Linked DNA regions of Mus musculus: region 1 is reported to be linked to region 2. The links are microRNA targets in miRTarBase. Many come from high-throughput screens and were not tested one by one. Region 2 holds a microRNA gene; the other region holds the end of a gene's coding sequence.
What was found. The annotated mature microRNA mmu-miR-7054-5p reads UAGGAAGGUGGUUGGGCUGAGUACU and lies in region 2 at 1,757-1,781, shown strand. An mRNA with a match to its seed (bases 2 to 7 or 8) in the 3' UTR can be bound and repressed. Matches are read on the target gene's strand: a 7mer-m8 pairs with bases 2 to 8, a 7mer-A1 pairs with bases 2 to 7 and ends in A, and an 8mer does both.

Region 1 (4,390 bases), not on the chromosome of region 2:
GGAAACACCAGTGATCTGAATGATGTGGGAATACCTGGCTCCATAGGATGGTGGGCCTCAAACACTAATGGGTGAAGGCAGCGTCAGTGAGATGTGCAGTCTCTGTGGGTCTTTTCTCTTAGGGCAGGGTTAGACTTGATTTATAATGGGACTTTTAACTTTAAACAAACAAAAAATCTAGATGTGCTCAGCACATAGTAAACAAGCAACCAATTGACTGAGAAGTGTGTACTGAACAGCTTATGAGAGTAGAATATCAGGAATCAGCAAGACATTTTCTCTGTGGGGAGAGAGGACTTCTTAGACCACTGACTACTACAAGGTTATAAATTCTGCAGCTCTAAACTCGGGCCCAGATCCAGGTCACCAAATGACAAGGCATCTACCATGTCCCATGTTATTAGACATGGTGGAAGAGGGCTGGGTTGTCGTCACCTTGGCTTGGAGCTGTAAGAGTTGACATCTACCACAAGTGGGTTATTCTGGAAAGCCAGCAGTCACACTCCAATTATCTGTTTATACTTTCATGGACCTAGTAGAAAACTTTGTGGTGTTAAGTAAGATCACCAGGGGCTGCTTTGAACTTCACTTAACTCTTAATTAAGTGGTATAGAATATGTGGGTGTGTACAAATCTCATTCTCATTTACACACACACACACACACACACACACACACACACACACACACACACACACACACACTCCAGGAAGGGAGTCCAAAATTAGTGATTTGTATTGGCACCTTCTCAGAGTACAAACATGGTAGCTGGGTTTCCTAAAACATGAAGAGTTGCTTTCTATAGTAATGAAGCAGGAGATATTTAGATAATGTTAGAAGACTACCATTACCTCCAACTCTGTCTAAAAACTTTACACTCTTGAAGGCCTTTATTTTCCTTTGTGGGGACTGTACCAAAAATCCAGCTCCTGGAAGGAACAATGAATACTTACAACATCTACTAGAGCAGAGTACTAAGGCCATCTTGATGTCTTTGAAAAAGAATTCCGAGTGTGAATGGGCATACTACACTGGGGGAACTGAAAGCCTTTCTCTCTCTCAATCTGTAGGTGAGTCATGGTGTGGGGCAGAGGGCTGACTGCAGAGCAGGGAGTGCTGTGCTCAAAACTGGTTCCATTGTTTGTTAGCAACTACAGACAAGTGACTTGTCCTCTGCACATCTACAGAGGCTCATTGCCTGTACTAAGGTTACTTACTCTTACTGGCTGTTAGAGCTGAGAAGTCAAGCACTTCTTGGAACTGCCCTAGATAGATATAACGGTATCAAACCAAACCAATGAACAAATTACTCTCAGCACTCAGAAACTTAACATTCAGAAGGTATCCAGGACTTGTTTGGAGGACCCAACTTATTTTAGAGACATTCATTACCTGTATCACTTGATGATTTGGGCAAACCCTGCTGTCCACAGTCTGTCAGGACACATACAACTCTGACAATCTTAACTCACACTGACCTGGAAAGGCAAGAAGCTTCGTTCACTATGGGGCACAAGGCCAAGTAAGAGGTCATAGCTTTGAGGACGAAGCTGATACCAGTACAGAAAGTATTCTTGTTCTTACATTGATAAATGCTGCCACTAGGAACTTAGGGATCTGGGCTAGGGGCTGCTGTGCTGTGTTTAATGCTTTTCTGGTTAAAGTTTTATCAGTGTTGAAGACAGCAGGAGCCCATAAAGTGAATCTGAAACCCTTACTAAGTAAAGGGAAAATGCTTTCCTTGAGGATTTCAGAGAGATGGTAATTTAAAGAGACAGGTTGGCAAATCTTATATTTCTGTTTATAACCACTGCATAAATGCTTGCATTCCCCAAATACTGATTTAAAGAAATAGCATGATTGGGTGGAGAGGCAATGATCTGTTCATTGCTAATATAAGGTCAACATGTAAAGATCAATGATTACTGAGAAAGACAAGACAAGCTTCCAAACTGTCAAGTCTTTTCAATCTTGTGATAGTTTACACTCTTTCTACAGTGGCCCTTCTTTTAAAATTTTGGCAGAACAGGATATCACTGGAGGTTGTCAACTCAAGATGTATTAAATTCTCCAGTCTTTGCAGACAGATGGTAAGACACCAAAATTGTCTAAGCCATCTACTAGCCACCAGCTGGGGAAAGTATACATATTTTTAGATCTCACACTCCGCTCTGCCCCAATATCCTTGTATGTGTGGTGAGTTTCAGTAATCCTAGCCTACAGCAGAGTGGCTTGGCAGTTTCCTGGCCTCAAAGGGATAAATCATTTTCTAGCATGCACAGGGCTGAACAATGACATAAATAGGACTCCTACAATAAGTCTATGCTGTTTCTGCCTCAGAACTATCCTGTACATACACATGTTAGCTGCCCCTAAAGCTTTGTGATAAGTACACAGGCAAGCTGGCTGACAGGAAAAGGGAGATGTACTACTCCAAGGTGGACTCCTTGGATCTGGAAGTCTAGACCTTGATCAACAGCAACCCCAAGGCTGCCTGAATCCAGTTCAGACAAAATCTCAAAGTGAACATGGAAATACCACACAAGCAGAGGAGATAGAATCACTGTCCACTTACAAATATGAGTTTCCTTCCAAGTTTCCTATTTTAGTTTAGCACTTTAGGTGTATGAACATTCTCTTGTATAACATAAGCATTTGTTCCATTAAAAAATATGGTCATCTCTTGACTTCAAATCATTTGGAAAGAAAAACTGATGTCTCAAGAAGATGTGGTGCTTGTGAGCTTGCAGTTAGTTGGGTATCTCCCAGCACACTTACTACTTCCTGGATCCTGAAAAGCATGGTTGTAAGAGACTGTGATCTGGGAGTGTGGGAAGGCCAGGAAACCCAGCTCTGGAGCATGCCTGGACATGCTACATGAAGAGAAAACTGGGCTGTGTGAGGTGAGCTGACGGCCTGCTGCAGGGGAAGGGAGGATTCCAATTATAGTAAATAGAGGAATGTTTGCTAGCTGCCAGGGAGGGACAAGGATTCCCCTCACAGTGCACTGACCACCATAGACTAACCTCGGAGTGAAACTGCTAAGTTTTACAGTGACAATCTCCACCTGCCAATATACATGCCAGCCTTTTATGTTGTGACAGGCCTGTTAATCCACACAGCTGGCCGAAGAATTCTGGGTTTTATCAGATGCTTTAGTGACCATTTTGGAAAATTGAGGCAATCTGAATTCTGAAACACTGATTTCAACCTTTAATCAGATTTCTGTGCCTCACCCCAGTCCTTAAGGTCATTTCCTTTCTACCTTTTCAATCATTTTCCCATTTCCACAGCACTGAATTATGAAACTTAAGTCCTAGATAACCTCACATACTAAAAATATCTTCTTTCTAGCTCTGGACTCTTTCTCCAACCCTATTTTAACCCAGTTGCCCTAACACTTTTCACAGAGGCAGAACTGGACTATGACAGACTGCCTATTGAGTCAGTTTGGCCCCACTTGGCCACATTTGCTTTAAGCTTCAGTACAAACAAAGTGGGTTTGTTTTCTGTTTGCAGGTAAGGAAAACTGATATCCTTTCGAGATGTTCTAGAACCTTCCTAAGGAAGTGATAGTGTTGACTTGCACAATATTCCAGGGGCTGGCTTTCCTGAGTAAGTTCAAAGCAGCCATTGGGGGGTTAGCTGAAGAGCCCTCCAAGTTGATCAAAAGGGCTCTTCCCATGACCTACCACAGAGAACAAGAAGCACACAGTCAGAATGCATACAACCCCTGGTCCCTTGGGAACATGTGTGCCTGCTGTGGATCTGGGGACATTTCCAGTAGAAGAAGTTTGTTGCCTGGCAGCTTTCACAGATATCAGAAGCCATTACATACACGCTGTCACACACACACGGGGAAGGGGCGTTTTCTGCAGGGAATGCTAAGTCTTCATGTGTCCTCTTCTTCACTGGCACCGCTACAAAGGAAAAGGAGAAGCAAGTGAGTTCAAACGTCACAGAAAGGAGGCAACGCAGTACAGGTTGACAGCTTTGTGCTGCTTCTATCATGACTGAGCAGTAGGCCCACAGCAAAGTGTCTTAGTTGCTTTGATTTCTGATTTCTAAATTTAACTACCGTTGTCATGAAAATTTACAAAAAAAAAAAAAAAAAAAAAAAAAGGACTTACTATCTTGGGTTCTGGGAGAATCAATTAAGAACACGTGTAAAATACACAATGCCCAGTATACAACCAGTAAGTAAAAGAGCAGGAAGATTGTCAGACTGAATTTTAAAATTTTAATTAACAAAATAAACTGCTGGTAGAAACCAGTTTTATTTCCTCTAGGTGTTAAGACATCTATTATTAGATCAGAAAACCAATCATCAGCAGCATCAGCAGCAATCAATCAATTGCACTTTGCCTTGGGCAGAGCCAAGGTCTCATCCA
Region 2 (4,390 bases):
CCATGCTTCCACAGGACAGGCAGCTGGGTGATAGGCAAGTGTCCCAATGGGGCTGGGAGGACAGCATGCCTTTCTGAAACTTGGCATTTTTGTTTTAAAAGCGGTGTGGTGGTTATGTAGATCATACTATCATAGTTGTATCTCGTGGCTGTAAATAAAGCTCTTGGGCTCCTCATCATGGAGGATAATGAATGCTGTGTGAACCTACGGTACCTGTTACAGAGTACCCCTGAGCATGTCGGCACATTCCCCGCTGTGGGGAAGGTGGCTTTCTGAGACTGAAGCACGACGCTCTTAAAATCATGACACCCGAAGTCAGGGTTGAGTTTGCATCTATTTGACTGGGTTGGGTAATTAATTGGAGGTTTGCCTAGGAGCATTGGGAAGCTGTGGGCAGTGGAGGGCCAGGTGTTGGAGCAGGTGGCTGAGCGGTCCTCCCATTGATGGGGAGGCAGCCGAAATCCAGAAGAAGGATAAGAATGGCTCTAGTCCCTGCAGGTCAGCGTGGGACCACGGACAAGGTCATCAGGAATGAGGCGGAAGAGAGGGACACTAAAGCAGGATGCACTGGGGGCCCTTGAGGTCTTCCTTCACCTCTGACCTGCCTCCCTCAGCCTTCACTTCAAACTGTTGCCTCAACCCCAGGTGACCATGGAGGAGGAAGATGAGTCTCGAGGTAAAACAGAGGAGTCGGGAGAGGATCGGGGAGACGGTCCACCTGACAGAGATCCTGCCCTTTCTCCTTCTGCCTTTATTTTGGTAAGAAAGCTGGGTGCAGTGAGGCCTGGAGGCCTAGGTTCTCATGCTCTGAAGTATGGGCTGGGGGTTCAGGCCCTGAACCAGGCCTTCAGGAAGAATTGGGGTTCTTTGTGGACTCTGGCTGCCGGGTGCCTGGAATGTGCTTTCCAAACAGCAGAAGTTAGAGAGGTCTTGGCCCTGATTTTTGTTTTTTCCCCTTTTGCAGCGGGCCATTCAGCAGGCTGTGGGAAGCTCCCTTCAGGGAGACCTGCCTAATGATAAAGGTATGAGGCCCACTCGTCCTCTTAGGCTTCTGCCTTCCTCTGGGCTCTTATCTTTCTTCTTTCTGAGGTGTCCTGGGTGCTTCTCTTGTGCTAGCGTCATCAGTGTCCAGGGTACTGGGTTTGTCTAGAGGAAGGCCTAGTTGGCAGGGAACCCAGTGTGGCTTTTGGGCTGACTAGAGGTGATCAGGGTAGTAGGTCACTTGGGAGGCAGGAGACATTTAGCCAGGACTGGGCAGGGTTCACAGGCCAAGCAGAGACATGCCCTTTGGTGAGCCCATCCCAGATTGAGTTGGGGGAGCCCAGGGTGCTGCAGAAACTGGGAGGTGGCAGGTGCTCCCTCAGCAAACGCTACGTCTTGACCTGCTTCCTGTGCTTTGCAAAGCCCAACATGGAATCCCAGCTTACTTCAATGTCTATCCAGATGGCGCTCGGTGTCGTGGCCTACGATGGAGGCGCTGCTGCCGGAGTCCTCGGTCAGAGCCTCGTTCACAGGAGTCAGGGGCTGCTGACACGGCCACTGTGAGTAAGAGTGTCCACCAGCCTTCACCCTGGGGCCTGCAAGACAGAGGAACTGGGGATCTAAACTGCTGGGTCTGGTGTGACTCTGGTGGGCAGTGACAGGAGTCTGGGGACCAGATCCCTGACTAAGCTGGCTCCTAGAGACCAGTGAGATAAGGTTGGTTGGATTCCAGAAGGTTCTTGTGGCAGATTGGTGGGTCCTGAGAGGCTGGAACTAGGAAGGTGGTTGGGCTGAGTACTCACAGAACAGAGTCCAACTTGGCCCCTTCCAGGTATTGGACACAGCTGCAGATAGCTTCCTTGTGGAGCTGGTGAGCATCCTGGATCCCCCGGACACCTGGGTTCCCAGCCGCCTGGACCTTCAGCCTGGCGAGTAAGAACCTGGACAGCTGAAGGTGGGGTGACCCTATCCTGAGAGCTATGGCACTGCTAGGGCTCACCATTTCCTCTGCCTTGCAGAAGTGAGGACATGCTAGAGCTGGTGGCTGAGGTCCGCATCGGTGACAGGGACCCCATGCCTCTACCTGTGCCCAGCCTGTTTCCCCGCCTCAGGGCCTGGAGGACAGGAAAGACAGGTATGTTGGCCTGCACTGTGTTGGGTGGGTGGTCTTGAAATTGTGTGAAAGTCAACTGTATTTAGGTATTAATGTATGATGCTGGGTACTGGACTTTGGGGACCTCACATATGTTCAGCAGGCATTCTGCCACCAAGCTAAGCTGCTAGCATCACTTACGCTGTTTGTAGTGAAGGTAGGAAGGATGCTTATATTAGTTACAAATTAGTTCATACACTCGTAGAGCAAAAGGGAGGGGGCACATAGGAGCATCGAGCATGCTGGCCAGCAGCTGTCAGAGTGGACTTGCGTGTCTTTGAGTTGGGGAGTCATCTCTTAGGAGGCGGCTCCTCGCTAGCTCCATTGGTGAGCCTGGTGCCCAGCTTGAGTCTGAGTGGAAAGGCAGGCGTTTGGTTCTGGGCACATGAGCTGGCCATCTAGCTGAAGCTCCCAGGACACCCAGCGTCAGCTCTGACTCGACGCCCCAACACGTTAACCTCCCTCTCTGCATGTCTTTAGAAGTGGAGTGGAGGGAAGGGCTTGTGTACAGTTAGTCTTTGGCAGCCATCAGTCCCAGTGCCTGGAAGAACATGGCTTGTGACTCCACTGAGGCAGGCCACAGTCACATTGTCCCTTCTCAGTTGTGAGTTGGGCTCAGAGGACATGGTACCCAACTTCCATGACCTACCTTGAGGCTGACTGGAGGAACTATGAGTGTATCCTTGACTGTGCATCTCAGATAACTGGTAGGCTGAAGAGGAACTGTGGATCCTCTCCCTAAGTTCAAGACTAATGTGGGCCGGGCGGTGGTGGCGCACGCCTTTAATCCCAGCACTTGGGAGGCAGAGGCAGGCGGATTTCTGAGTTCGAGGCCAGCCTGGTCTACAGAGTGAGTTCCATGACAGCCAGGGCTACACAGAGAAACCCTGTCTCGGAAAAAAAAAAAAAAAAAAAAAAAAAAAAAGACTAATGTGGGCAACACCAGGAGAGCCTGACTCCAAAAACCAACCCACAAGGTAGCAGAGGATAAATGTTCCAATAGAACCTGTGCACACAGACAAATGGCCAGTCATTCTCATGGGACTCTGAAATTACGGTGTGGTTTTGTTGGTGACTTTTTTTTTTTTTTTTTTTTTTTGAGGCAGGGTCTTGTCCTGTTGCCTAGACTGGCCTGGAACTTGGGACAGTCCTGCGTTGCCCTTCCTTGTGCTGAGATTACAGACTTGACCACCACCCTTTGTGGTGATATTTTAAAGACAAGCTTGGGAACAGAGAGTGGCATTGCTTAGGCTGTCGCTGTGCCTCCCTGACACTTAGCACTGTGGTTTTGTCTTGCTCAGGGTTTTTCTTAGTTTCTAAACTGAACTGACAAGGCCGTTGTGTGATTGGGGTTTTTTGTTGTTATTGTTTGTTTTTAAATTACATTTGTGGCTGGACAAATAGGTCAGCTTTCAGGAGTTTGTTTTCCTCTGCCAAGTGGGTCCCAGGGATCTAAGTCGGGTCTTTAGATTTGGTGACAGCTGCCTTTATTCACTGTGACATCTTGTTGCTGGCCCTTTCCTCCTATCTCTCTATGTGTGTGTGTGTCTGGCATTGAACGTGGGGCCTCACACCTAGAGCCACTGAGCTACATCCTTAGTCCGTTTTGTTTTTGAGAGATGGATCTTGCTTTGTAGCTCACTCTAGCCTTAAAACTCCTGGTCTTCCTCCCATGTATGCTGGAATGCCCACCTCAGCATTTCTGTTTGTTTGTCTTTTTCAAGACAGTGTTTCTCTTTGTAGCCCTGGCTGTCATGGAACTCATTGTAGACAAGACTGGCCTTGTACTTACAGAGATCTGCCTGCCTCTGCCTCTTTGGTTCGAGATTAAAGGCGTGCGCCACCACACTCGGCTTGCTTGTTTGTTTTTTAGTTTTTGTTTGTTTTGTTTTGGAAGATATTAAGAGCACAGGAAAAGGAACACGGTGATCGCTCATGACCTTCCTCTGTACCAGAGTCACATGTCACCCTGTGCTTCCAGACTCTAGTGTGTCCTGGGTTGAAATAAGAAAGGAGCAGGAGTGGGGAGTTGGTCATGGGTGCCCTCTGGGCTCTGGGTGTGAACCCTGTCCTCAGGACCAGTGAGCTCCCTGAAGGGTGTGAACCCTGGGTGTGAACCCTGTCCTCAGGATGAGTGAGCTCCCTGAAGGGTGTGAACCCTGGGTGTGAACCCTGTCTTCAGGATGAGTGAGCTCCCTGAAGGGTGTGAACCCTGGGTGTGAACCCTGTCCTCAGGACGAGTGAGCTCCCTGAAGG

Region 1: miRTarBase lists Trim44 as a target of mmu-miR-7054-5p. Seed matches in the 3' UTR shown: 7mer-m8 at 707-713.

The regions. Positions count from the first base shown.
Region 1 is chr2:102,300,586-102,304,975 of GRCm38, forward strand. It overlaps Trim44 (tripartite motif-containing 44), which reads right to left. Exons shown (of 5, transcript NM_020267.2): 5 at 1-3,919. The coding sequence ends at 3,892. Among named protein-coding and RNA genes, the nearest start is that of Gm34268, 56 kb to the left of the region's middle.
Region 2 is chr7:45,009,849-45,014,238 of GRCm38, reverse strand. Mir7054 (microRNA 7054) reads left to right here and starts at 1,752; the gene lies at 1,752-1,813. It overlaps Scaf1 (SR-related CTD-associated factor 1), which reads left to right. Exons shown (of 11, transcript NM_001008422.1): 2 at 646-759; 3 at 965-1,022; 4 at 1,444-1,541; 5 at 1,814-1,914; 6 at 2,001-2,116. The coding sequence starts at 652.